Saccharomyces cerevisiae S288C: one gene and its partners. The protein of the gene in region 1 binds, or shares a complex with, the protein of each later gene. Each region holds a gene or a part of one and is shown on either strand. Other genes may lie near its edges. A codon is read from its position in the direction of its gene.

Region 1 (4,085 bases):
CACAGAAGAAAAAGGCAAAGCGTTTGTATACATAAGAAATGACAGGGCGGTCGGAATAATAATTATAGAGAACCTTTATGGGGGCAATGGTAAAACATCTAGTCGTGGACGTTGGATGGTTTATGATTCTAGAAGATTGGTACAGAATGTGTACCCCGATTTTAAGATTGGCATATCGAGAATTTGGGTGTGCAGGACAGCAAGGAAGTTGGGTATCGCAACCAAATTGATTGACGTTGCAAGAGAAAATATTGTTTACGGTGAAGTTATTCCTAGGTACCAGGTAGCATGGTCGCAACCCACAGACAGCGGTGGAAAACTGGCTAGCAAATACAACGGCATTATGCATAAATCAGGCAAGTTACTATTGCCGGTATACATATGACTCTTTCGAAAAGACAGCGAGAAGGGACACTGGAAAAATGGCATAAAACTTTTCAAGGTTATTATTAGTAAGTTTTTTTATTATATGATATATATATATATAAAAATGAAATAAATTATTTCTTGATGGAGCCACTTATTTTTCTTATACCACCGGCGGCGCTTGTAGTCCTTCTCCCTGACGTTACTCTCCTATTCTTGGGCAATAGTTGTCTTAGTATGGTATCATCTGCGGCATTATTGATGTTCGTTGCGCTGGGTTCGTTATCTTCCATTCGGGACGATGAAGCAGAGGAGATATCATTTTTCTTGCGCGAAACTTTGGGATAATGATTACTTGTGCCGTTGGTATCCTGCATGGATTCGTCATCTGAGTTGTTGCTTTCTATTACTACCTTCCTATTCGCATGGGAAGTTGGATTACGATTATTGTTGATATCTTCTATAGTATTAGAACCGTTTTGGCCCTTTCTCGGCTGACCAGGCGAAGTCTGTGGGACGGCTGAGCTCTTGAATGAATTACTTCCATTATTCGCCGTAGAAGGTTGGCTCGAATTTCTGGCACTAAGCGCCCCATGACCGTTGGATGGCGGCGTCATGGTTAAATCTCTTAATTCACCTTCAATGTTATTTTGCGCAACCCTCTTGTCGTCTTTAAGTTTCTTTTTTTGTAAGCGGTATTCTTCTAAACTTATTAAGGGATATAAGCCGCCAATGGCCTCACTAGGCTTCAAAGAAATTCTGGTTGTGTACTTCCATTCTCTAAAATCATTCTGGTGTAAATATAACCAATGCTGTTGAGGGCCAACGACCATTCCCGGCCTTATAAACCTTAAGAAGCCAATACACTCGTTAGCGGTAAATCCATACGTGTATATTAAGTGAGCACCAATTAAACAACCAGTTCTACCTAGCCCAGCCTTACAGTGCACAGCAATTTTACCTCCCCTTTTAATTATCGTTTCAGCAGCACCAACAAAGTTTTTTACAATGGAAAGATCAGGACATGTACCATCTTCGAAAATTAGATCCAAATGTTGAATGCCAATGTCTTCAAAATGCTTTTTATTATATAAATGAGAATTCAACCTTACCACTAATTGGACGTTATTGTTGGCGAAAAAATTCAGAACTGACTTAAACGGCTGGTTCAAATGTGAAGATTTGGTAGCGAGATAGCCCTTTGGATGGTCCTCTTGTGGTGACGCAAATGCAATAAAATCTGGGGTGAGTACATTGAAGTCTCCAAACTCCACGTGTTCGTATTTCTCGTAACTCTCCAAATTGAAGGAATGCAAATCAATAAGGCCTTTTTCCTTAGCCCTCCAAACGCCATAAACCACATCTTGAATTGTGATTTCGAAATCCGCATTAGAATAACCGGCATCTCTAAATGGCATGAAGGGAGGGTCTACTTGCGCCAACGGCTGAAGCACTTGATGCGGAGTCCATGCCTGAACGAGGATCATATAACAGCAAAGCATACATGCGGCGTTAGCACGTTGTCTGGTCGATGCAGATGAATAGAAAACAACGGCTTTATTGGCATTTTCTGGGTCATTCAAGATTTCATGGAAAATAACGGCAAAACGATATAGATGTCCAATGTTCATGGGACCGAAATCCAAATGGAAACTGTTGTAAAAGATTGCGTCCTCCACGGTAAAAAACACCAGCTCATCAGTATCTTCCGGCGTGTAATCATATGCACCGAGATATACTCTGCCTCGCAGGAACTCGATCGTGTTGTCGAGGTATACACTCCTACGCATTTTTTTTTTTTTTTTATAAGCGTACTTTGTAGTCCCAGCCTCTGTGCAATTGTTTCGTATTATACCTCGAACGAATCGGAAATATTTGGTACATTATTGTTTCAATTTCAATTTGTTTACCTTTGAACCAAGTGAAGAAAAACTTATGGTGCTAAAAGTACATTCCCCGTTGAAAGTGATACAGCTTTCTTGATTGACACAATAGCAATGGCCTTCAAATGCATATCTCTACTATCGGCTAAAAAACGAATGACTCACGTTATCAGGCTCATAGCTTGTGTGTGTGTGTGTGTGTGTGTGTGTGTGTGTGTGTGTGTGTGTGTGTGTGTGTGTGTGTGATTGTTGTTCTAGTCGCTTGCTTTATAAAGTAACGACACTTTCTGGTGCCAATATGTGAAAACGCATTACAGAAAAAAACAGTTGTATTCTACTAAAAACACATCAGTAGTCACAGAAGTCACAGAAGTCACGTATATAAGCTAGTGGCAATCATAACTAACACAGGTGTATTAATGAAAAAATAAAGCCAAAAAAATTTCAGAAAAAAATATCTCCCGGGGGCGAGTCGAACGCCCGATCTCAAGATTTCGTAGTGGTAAATTACAGTCTTGCGCCTTAAACCAACTTGGCTACCGAGAGTCGTTTTTGTTGATTACTTTGCTATATAAAGATTCCTTTATCATTATTTCATGAGGCGCACTTTTGATTTTCACACCTTTTTCAAGCGGAGGAGTTATTCGTCTTATTAACATTACCATTACAGTAGTCATCAATGATTACCTTATCAGCACTGAAAAGATACCCGTAAAATTTAGCACACGCACACTCACACATACATAGGTACGAAATACACAACTGATAGGCGTTCATGCACTCTCATAGACAAAAGTGGGGCCGCCAGACGGATATAGCGAGGGTGCTCGACGATATAGAACACGACCTCTATCTACCGCAACGGCTATCACTCGATGGTGCAACTGGTACTGACGAATCACATGTGCAATACGGTATAGTCAAAGACTGCTCTGTGCTTACGTGTGGCTGCTGTATATCTGAATCGCTATTCAATGATTTATGCAGGGAAACTTCGAACAAGCAAACTGCGTGTCCCATCTGTCAGCGAGAAAATGTTCGACTACTTTCAGCCATCAAGCCGCTGCGAGATTTGGCTCGTCAGATTGACTTCTTCAGAAGTACTACCGGACAGGGCGAAAGCGAAAGCGATGAGCTCCCCGCTATAGTAAAGACTTCACCATCATCATCATCACTATCGCTAACGCCATCGCGCTCTTCCTCCACTGCTGGGCTAGAAGCTGATAACAAGACACTATCAGACCCTACAGTTAAGGAGAAATCATCACTGCTCGAACTCTTCCATATTGTGGCTTCGAAGATGCATAATGCGAATACAGAGGTAGGGTCGGACCACCCACTCACGACTGGCACCACCCGTGATCAAGAAGAACACACCACTAAGGAGAATTACTCAAGCAGCTTACTCGAGCCCAACTATGACGACCACGCGAACTGGAAAATCCTGGATAATGCCTCGAACACAAGAACTGTGCCGATAGATAACAACTTCTCTTTGATGTCTACGGACGTTACAATACCTTCCACAGCAAACTACCAAACAAATAGTGCACATGATCTGGACGAAGAAAAGGAGTACTTTTTTGCCAACTGTTTCCCCATGTACAGAAAAAAATTTCAGTTCAACACACACCCCAAATTCCTAGGGACGAAATCCAAATTATTCATCAACCAAAGCATTTCTCCCGATTGCACCAAATTTGCTCTAATTACTGAACACAAGTGGGAAATTTATTCGATTAATCCGAAGGACAACTCTCCTCAACTAGTATCATGTGGCAAGTCTAGTGGAGAATATGGTCCCAACTTCAACCAACTAACAGAGCAATCGTCATC
Region 2 (3,033 bases), on another chromosome or scaffold:
CAAGTTTTACTTTGTCACCCAAAGTCCATTGTGAAAGTTCTTTTTGCTGATCTGTCACTTCTAGCAAATTTGGTAGCGAGTATCCTTTATTCCATTTCAATTCATCCTTCTGCGTCACTTTTCCGTGTACCATCCACACACACATATATAACCATATCAGTCCATTAATGAAATTCATCTTCTTTTGCTTAGTTCCAGCTTTTGTTCCTGTGATTTTCCCTAAAAGCTGAAGAGAGGAAGCTGTCTTTCTTGTAGTCATCCTCCCCTAACTCGCTTTGACGAAATACTACAATGAAATATGCTATTATTCTGAAGACAGAAAACCAGAATAAAAGAATACGGTAAGGAAAAGTTAAAAATCCTGTTAATGTTGTAATATAGAATATCCTGTATATATTATAATATGTAAAATGTTGATGTTAATGCCCCTTTGCAAATAAATGTAGAATAAGTAAGTAAATAAAATATAATCGTTCCAGAAACTTTTTTTTTTCATTTCTTCAATGCTCTTGATCCCTAGATTGAAACAATGCCTTTGGCTTGAATCTTCTCTTTTCTTCATCCGTTAACCTTCGTTTCTCTACCACCTCTCCCTTCTTATTGACATATGTTATTACGTCTTCTATATCTGGGTTTTCTCTCAACATTGCCCTTTTACGTTCATTTCTAATTTCCTGAGTGACCAGTTCATCTGATGCAAAGGGATTTTTACCCACCCGCACTGGATTGATGATGATGTCTTCCTCGTCTTCACTTTCTTGACTCCTGGCGTCATTTTTCGGAGAGTTGTTGTTCCAATTTTTTGCCAATTCAAATGTTATCACCTTGTCGCTGGGCGTACCAGGTACATCTTTAATAATCTTCTTTCTATGTGTCTGATCAAACTCATCTCTTTCAAGTGATAAATGTAACTGCCTGGCAGATGTAGGTCTGCTGGGGGGAAGAAGAACTTCTCCTTCTTCTTCTTCTTCTGCTGCATCTATATCCACATTTTGCTGCGTGGGAAACAATATCCTATTTACACGACCCAATGGTTCCTGCTCTTCCCTTACTGTTCCATTATCATGACTTTCAAATTGGAATAGTGTCCTCTTCACTGAAGATTTTGGAAACGGCGAGCGTTGAGGAGACGTAAGCCCATTAAATGGAGAGGTCATACCCATGTTCGAATTGGGAGGTGCTAATAATGGCGCATTTTTAAAAGACTTAGTTGTTGAGGGAGTGACAGGGACTAGGTTCTGTGAAGGCTTTTGGGGGGTCTTTTGACCTTGCATTAGGGCACTAGAACTAGTATTGCCACTAGGCTGCGCAAGGTACCTAGTCCCTCTGGACCTTGGTGGGGTGGAAGGAGTCATTTTCGTGTAATAGTCCCTGCTTCAAGGGTCAAAATTCCGTAGAGGTTTGGTTGATTGATTTACAAAGACAATACCTTATCCTTTGGATATGCCTTCTCTCTTTTTATAAATATCAAAAGTTGCGACGCGAACAACAAGCCAGCCATTGAAATTTTCAGTGTGCTGGCTATAATAGACAGGATCGACGCTGTCGATGGAGAAGGAAACACGGCAATAGTGCAGATATTATCGTGACTTAATCATATTGATTTGAGGGGGGAATGGTATGTTTGATCGCCGGAGGCATCTTTTCTCATTATTGCTAAAACAAGATGTAATACTAACAGGGTATTTTGCTACTACCATCAAATAGAACGCTCTTTACAACCATGCTGTGAAGCAAAAAAATCAACTACAACAAGAGTTGGCCAGGTTTGAAAAGAATTCTGTGACCGCCCCTATTTCTTTACAAGGGTCCATCTCTGCAACTCTGGTCTCACTGGAGAAAACAGTTAAGCAATATGCAGAACATTTAAACAGATATAAAGAAGATACTAATGCAGAGGAAATTGATCCTAAGTTCGCTAATCGACTAGCAACTTTAACACAGGATCTGCACGACTTTACTGCCAAGTTTAAGGATTTAAAACAATCCTACAACGAAAATAATTCCAGAACTCAGTTGTTTGGCTCAGGAGCATCGCATGTTATGGACTCCGATAACCCCTTTAGTACATCAGAGACCATCATGAATAAAAGGAACGTTGGTGGTGCGAGTGCAAATGGTAAAGAGGGCTCTAGCAACGGTGGGGGACTACCGTTGTACCAAGGGCTACAAAAGGAACAGTCTGTTTTCGAAAGGGGTAACGCTCAATTAGATTACATTCTAGAAATGGGCCAACAATCATTCGAAAATATAGTGGAACAAAACAAAATTTTATCCAAGGTACAAGATAGAATGTCAAATGGCCTAAGAACATTGGGTGTTTCGGAACAAACTATCACCTCTATCAATAAACGGGTGTTCAAAGATAAACTAGTCTTTTGGATCGCGTTAATTCTCTTGATCATAGGTATTTATTATGTGTTGAAATGGTTAAGATAGAAGTAACCGTGAGTTCTATATATAAATAAACATACCATATATACATGCATCATTATAAGGGTTGAAAAAACATCGCGAATCTCGCTACTTTCCTTCTATGCTCTTTCGTTTCTCAAACCCGCCAGTATAAGCAACTTTTATTACCATTGGTGACTACACGTTGCTCCTTTTTTAAGTGTAATTTACTGTTATAAATTGAGTCCAAATCTGTCGTGTCTTGTCCTGGTTTGAGAACTTCGGGAATGTTCATTGGCTTAGCGCATTTCATAGTTTTCTTTCCAATACCTAGTTGGCCATGGTCGTTATTACCCCATGCAATGACCTCGTTTTCTTGTTCAGTTTCAGTGAACACACAATGAGAGCCGCAACTCCAGTTGGTCAATTTCTTGTCATCCGACTTGATTTTTATGGGATCACATTGCGAGTTCTTGAAAGTGTTGTTGCCCAATTCACCAAAAAGTCCATTACCAAACGCGAAATAATGATGGTCTGACGTTGAGCCAGGCTTACGAATGGTCACAAACGATGTTTCATCATCACAATGAATATCCACACATTTCCAATTCGTCATCCCCGGGAAATGCGGTTTAAATG
Region 3 (5,378 bases), on another chromosome or scaffold:
ACCAATTCGATTCATCCCTACAAATTTTATTCAACAGGGTTGTTGTTCAATTGGGTCTATCCGCCTTTAAATTATGTTTGATTGAAGAATGTCATCAAATTTTGAATGATCTTCTGTCAAGTTCTCACTTAAGAGAAATTTTGGGCCAACAATCCCTACACAGAATATCTCTCAATTCTAGTAACAATGCTTCAGCTGATGAGCGTGCTAGACAATGTTTGCCATATCACCAACACATCAATCTCGATTTAATCGATGTCGTCTTCTTAACATGTTCCTTATTGATCGAAATTCCAAGAATGACTGCCTTCTATTCCGGTATTAAGGTCAAGAGAATTCCTTACTCTCCAAAATCCATTCGTCGTTCCTTAGAACATTACGACAAGTTAAGTTTCCAAGGTCCACCAGAAACTTTAAGAGATTATGTCTTGTTTGCTGCCAAATCAATGCAAAAAGGTAACTGGAGAGACTCTGTTAAATACTTAAGAGAAATAAAATCTTGGGCTTTATTACCAAACATGGAAACGGTGTTGAATAGTTTAACGGAAAGAGTACAAGTTGAATCTTTGAAGACTTATTTCTTTTCTTTCAAGAGGTTCTATTCAAGTTTTTCTGTTGCTAAACTAGCCGAATTATTTGATCTTCCAGAAAATAAGGTGGTTGAAGTTTTGCAATCTGTTATCGCAGAATTGGAAATCCCAGCCAAATTAAACGACGAGAAGACCATCTTTGTTGTCGAAAAGGGTGATGAAATTACTAAATTGGAAGAAGCAATGGTAAAATTGAACAAAGAATATAAAATCGCTAAAGAACGTCTTAACCCACCATCAAATCGTCGTTGATCAATAAAATCAAAAACTACTTCGAAAGCATTCTTAACAAAAAATCATTGTAGATAGAAGAATAACATCAGCAACCAAAAAATATAGAAGGAAACTAAGCAGGAGAGTATAAACCATATTCACTTTTGCTTTTTATTCTTGATATTGCTCATCTTTTTTTTTTTCGATTCTTTTAGCGATCTCTTTATTTTTAGTTTTAGGGTTTGAATCTAATCGTCTTCACTGTACATTACACATAAGCAAATATATATATAGTTTTTTTTGTTACGTAAACACTCTTTATAATATAATACAAACTATTAAACTTTAAGAAAAGTATGATATGCCGCTTTATTTCTTCATCAAATATAATCTCAAAATATATGGATCATGAGTGTTGATAAATAATCCAATAGCCTATCATGGACTATCTGTTTGACATTCTAAAAAAAAAAATAAATTGTACGAACTGCAGTAAATCGGTATTATCATCATGACGCACGATATCAATTCTTTGCAGAAACTGAAAAATTTTTCATTTTCTACCCAGGAAAAAAAGAAAAATGAAATTCACTAAAAAAATGGGAATACTAATACCAGACGGTCCAATAATCACTATAGTATTATAGACAGCTATAACAGTGATCGAAGTTCGGCGCTCTTCAGATACCGAGTGGCTAATAGACTGAGTAGATCAAAGTGGCAGATAGCCCAAACAAAAGTAATTAGCTTGCAAGCCACTTTATCCTAACGACACGTGATTTCAACCGTAACTAGAGCCATCGCTATGTCTGCTTTACCGGAAGAAGTTAATAGAACATTACTTCAGATTGTCCAGGCGTTTGCTTCCCCTGACAATCAAATACGTTCTGTAGCTGAGAAGGCTCTTAGTGAAGAATGGATTACCGAAAACAATATTGAGTATCTTTTAACTTTTTTGGCTGAACAAGCCGCTTTCTCCCAAGATACAACAGTTGCAGCATTATCTGCTGTTCTGTTTAGAAAATTAGCATTAAAAGCTCCCCCTTCTTCGAAGCTTATGATTATGTCCAAAAATATCACACATATTAGGAAAGAAGTTCTTGCACAAATTCGTTCTTCATTGTTAAAAGGGTTTTTGTCGGAAAGAGCTGATTCAATTAGGCACAAACTATCTGATGCTATTGCTGAGTGTGTTCAAGACGACTTACCAGCATGGCCAGAATTACTACAAGCTTTAATAGAGTCTTTAAAAAGCGGTAACCCAAATTTTAGAGAATCCAGTTTTAGAATTTTGACGACTGTACCTTATTTAATTACCGCTGTTGACATCAACAGTATCTTACCAATTTTTCAATCAGGCTTTACTGATGCAAGTGATAATGTCAAAATTGCTGCAGTTACGGCTTTCGTGGGTTATTTTAAGCAACTACCAAAATCTGAGTGGTCCAAGTTAGGTATTTTATTACCAAGTCTTTTGAATAGTTTACCAAGATTTTTAGATGATGGTAAGGACGATGCCCTTGCATCAGTTTTTGAATCGTTAATTGAGTTGGTGGAATTGGCACCAAAACTATTCAAGGATATGTTTGACCAAATAATACAATTCACTGATATGGTTATAAAAAATAAGGATTTAGAACCTCCAGCAAGAACCACAGCACTCGAACTGCTAACCGTTTTCAGCGAGAACGCTCCCCAAATGTGTAAATCGAACCAGAATTACGGGCAAACTTTAGTGATGGTTACTTTAATCATGATGACGGAGGTATCCATAGATGATGATGATGCAGCAGAATGGATAGAATCTGACGATACCGATGATGAAGAGGAAGTTACATATGACCACGCTCGTCAAGCTCTTGATCGTGTTGCTTTAAAGCTGGGTGGTGAATATTTGGCTGCACCATTGTTCCAATATTTACAGCAAATGATCACATCAACCGAATGGAGAGAAAGATTCGCGGCCATGATGGCACTTTCCTCTGCAGCTGAGGGTTGTGCTGATGTTCTGATCGGCGAGATCCCAAAAATCCTGGATATGGTAATTCCCCTCATCAACGATCCTCATCCAAGAGTACAGTATGGATGTTGTAATGTTTTGGGTCAAATATCTACTGATTTTTCACCATTCATTCAAAGAACTGCACACGATAGAATTTTGCCGGCTTTAATATCTAAACTAACGTCAGAATGCACCTCAAGAGTTCAAACGCACGCCGCAGCGGCTCTGGTTAACTTTTCTGAATTCGCTTCGAAGGATATTCTTGAGCCTTACTTGGATAGTCTATTGACAAATTTATTAGTTTTATTACAAAGCAACAAACTTTACGTACAGGAACAGGCCCTAACAACCATTGCATTTATTGCTGAAGCTGCAAAGAATAAATTTATCAAGTATTACGATACTCTAATGCCATTATTATTAAATGTTTTGAAGGTTAACAATAAAGATAATAGTGTTTTGAAAGGTAAATGTATGGAATGTGCAACTCTGATTGGTTTTGCCGTTGGTAAGGAAAAATTTCATGAGCACTCTCAAGAGCTGATTTCTATATTGGTCGCTTTACAAAACTCAGATATCGATGAAGATGATGCGCTCAGATCATACTTAGAACAAAGTTGGAGCAGGATTTGCCGAATTCTGGGTGATGATTTTGTTCCGTTGTTACCGATTGTTATACCACCCCTGCTAATTACTGCCAAAGCAACGCAAGACGTCGGTTTAATTGAAGAAGAAGAAGCAGCAAATTTCCAACAATATCCAGATTGGGATGTTGTTCAAGTTCAGGGAAAACACATTGCTATTCACACATCCGTCCTTGACGATAAAGTATCAGCAATGGAGCTATTACAAAGCTATGCGACACTTTTAAGAGGCCAATTTGCTGTATATGTTAAAGAAGTAATGGAAGAAATAGCTCTACCATCGCTTGACTTTTACCTACATGACGGTGTTCGTGCTGCAGGAGCAACTTTAATTCCTATTCTATTATCTTGTTTACTTGCAGCCACCGGTACTCAAAACGAGGAATTGGTATTGTTGTGGCATAAAGCTTCGTCTAAACTAATCGGAGGCTTAATGTCAGAACCAATGCCAGAAATCACGCAAGTTTATCACAACTCGTTAGTGAATGGTATTAAAGTCATGGGTGACAATTGCTTAAGCGAAGACCAATTAGCGGCATTTACTAAGGGTGTCTCCGCCAACTTAACTGACACTTACGAAAGGATGCAGGATCGCCATGGTGATGGTGATGAATATAATGAAAATATTGATGAAGAGGAAGACTTTACTGACGAAGATCTTCTCGATGAAATCAACAAGTCTATCGCGGCCGTTTTGAAAACCACAAATGGTCATTATCTAAAGAATTTGGAGAATATATGGCCTATGATAAACACATTCCTTTTAGATAATGAACCAATTTTAGTCATTTTTGCATTAGTAGTGATTGGTGACTTGATTCAATATGGTGGCGAACAAACTGCTAGCATGAAGAACGCATTTATTCCAAAGGTTACCGAGTGCTTGATTTCTCCTGACGCTCGTATTCGCCAAGCTGCTTCTTATATAATCGGTGTTTGTGCCCAATACGCTCCATCTACATATGCTGACGTTTGCATACCGACTTTAGATACACTTGTTCAGATTGTCGATTTTCCAGGCTCCAAACTGGAAGAAAATCGTTCTTCAACAGAGAATGCCAGTGCAGCCATCGCCAAAATTCTTTATGCATACAATTCCAACATTCCTAACGTAGACACGTACACGGCTAATTGGTTCAAAACGTTACCAACAATAACTGACAAAGAAGCTGCCTCATTCAACTATCAATTTTTGAGTCAATTGATTGAAAATAATTCGCCAATTGTGTGTGCTCAATCTAATATCTCCGCTGTAGTTGATTCAGTCATACAAGCCTTGAATGAGAGAAGTTTGACCGAAAGGGAAGGCCAAACGGTGATAAGTTCAGTTAAAAAGTTGTTGGGATTTTTGCCTTCTAGTGATGCTATGGCAATTTTCAATAGATATCCAGCTGATATTATGGAGAAAGTACATAAATGGTTTGCATAAAGACGTTTAATAGAAAGAAGAACAATGTTAAGTAGTTCTATAAGGAATATTAAATGAATATTGTCTTTTTTGATGATTTAAAAACATATAATGTAACAATAGTGTTCTTTTTAATTTACCGGTGGTAATAGCGAATAGAATCTTATAAAACTTACATAGAAAAAAAATATATACTATACTTACAACTTTTCATTTTTTTCGTAAAAACTACCCCACAATGAAATAAGATACCATACCTTATCGAGTTATTATGTATGTGTCGAAGCTTTTTAAACCAAAGCAAAACCGACACCAGCGGCAATGGATAAGGAAATGATGGAGGTAAAGACCACTTGTGCTAAGTTAGCTTTAACGTTGGTGGCAGCATTCTTCTTGCTAGAAGATGAAGATGAAGCTGAAGAAGAAGAAGAAGAACTGGAAGAACCAGAAGAGCCGGAGTTAGACTTGGAAGAAGACCCCGAAGCGTTAGAAGAGGCAGTACTGGATTCAGTTCCGGAACC

The links. The genes of interacting proteins can lie anywhere in the genome.
Region 2: the proteins of CDC14 (region 1) and SIC1 are in contact, whole or in part, in a crystal structure (PDB 6G86), measured with the Saccharomyces cerevisiae proteins. Residues at the interface, in NP_116684.3 of Saccharomyces cerevisiae: Phe13 (codon at 2,120), Leu14 (codon at 2,117), Arg17 (codon at 2,108), Val18 (codon at 2,105), Tyr60 (codon at 1,979), Ala63 (codon at 1,970), Val64 (codon at 1,967), Phe66 (codon at 1,961), His67 (codon at 1,958), Leu70 (codon at 1,949), Asn71 (codon at 1,946), Tyr101 (codon at 1,856), Met102 (codon at 1,853), Val105 (codon at 1,844), Gln106 (codon at 1,841), Trp108 (codon at 1,835), Gln112 (codon at 1,823), Leu159 (codon at 1,682), His160 (codon at 1,679); in NP_013180.1 of Saccharomyces cerevisiae: Ser51 (codon at 1,205), Phe52 (codon at 1,202), Asn54 (codon at 1,196), Ala55 (codon at 1,193), Pro56 (codon at 1,190), Leu57 (codon at 1,187), Leu58 (codon at 1,184), Ala59 (codon at 1,181), Pro60 (codon at 1,178), Pro61 (codon at 1,175).
Region 3: the proteins of CDC14 (region 1) and PSE1 are in contact, whole or in part, in a crystal structure (PDB 4ZJ7), measured with the Saccharomyces cerevisiae proteins. Residues at the interface, in NP_116684.3 of Saccharomyces cerevisiae: Gly547 (codon at 518), Ser548 (codon at 515), Ile549 (codon at 512), Lys550 (codon at 509), Lys551 (codon at 506); in NP_014039.1 of Saccharomyces cerevisiae: Arg349 (codon at 2,653), Asp353 (codon at 2,665), Ser392 (codon at 2,782), Ser393 (codon at 2,785), Glu396 (codon at 2,794), Cys429 (codon at 2,893), Asn430 (codon at 2,896), Gly433 (codon at 2,905), Gln434 (codon at 2,908), His470 (codon at 3,016), Ala473 (codon at 3,025), Ala474 (codon at 3,028), Val476 (codon at 3,034), Asn477 (codon at 3,037), Gln512 (codon at 3,142), Thr515 (codon at 3,151).

What each region holds. Positions count from the first base shown.
Region 1 is NC_001138.5:207,913-211,997, forward strand, and holds CDC14 (phosphoprotein phosphatase CDC14), read right to left. Parts: upstream 2,157-4,085; coding exon 501-2,156; downstream 1-500. Other genes in the region: ECO1 (Eco1p), read left to right, coding at 1-385; PTR3 (Ptr3p), read left to right, coding at 3,025-4,085. UniProt on the Saccharomyces cerevisiae protein: Protein phosphatase which antagonizes mitotic cyclin-dependent kinase CDC28, the inactivation of which is essential for exit from mitosis. To access its substrates, is released from nucleolar sequestration during mitosis.
Region 2 is NC_001144.5:285,142-288,174, reverse strand, and holds SIC1 (cyclin-dependent protein serine/threonine kinase inhibiting protein SIC1), read right to left. Parts: upstream 1,356-3,033; coding exon 501-1,355; downstream 1-500. Other genes in the region: EMP46 (Emp46p), read right to left, coding at 1-259; BOS1 (Bos1p), read left to right, coding at 1,616-1,618, 1,708-2,439; FMP25 (Fmp25p), read right to left, coding at 2,552-3,033. UniProt on the Saccharomyces cerevisiae protein: Substrate and inhibitor of the cyclin-dependent protein kinase CDC28. Its activity could be important for faithful segregation of chromosomes to daughter cells. It acts in response to a signal from a post-start checkpoint.
Region 3 is NC_001145.3:888,452-893,829, reverse strand, and holds PSE1 (importin PSE1), read left to right. Parts: upstream 1-1,608; coding exon 1,609-4,878; downstream 4,879-5,378. Other genes in the region: NIP1 (translation initiation factor eIF3 core subunit c), read left to right, coding at 1-842; 1,3-beta-glucanosyltransferase GAS1, read right to left, coding at 5,148-5,378. UniProt on the Saccharomyces cerevisiae protein: Functions in nuclear protein import as nuclear transport receptor. Serves as receptor for classical and arginine/glycine-rich nuclear localization signals (cNLS and rg-NLS) in cargo substrates.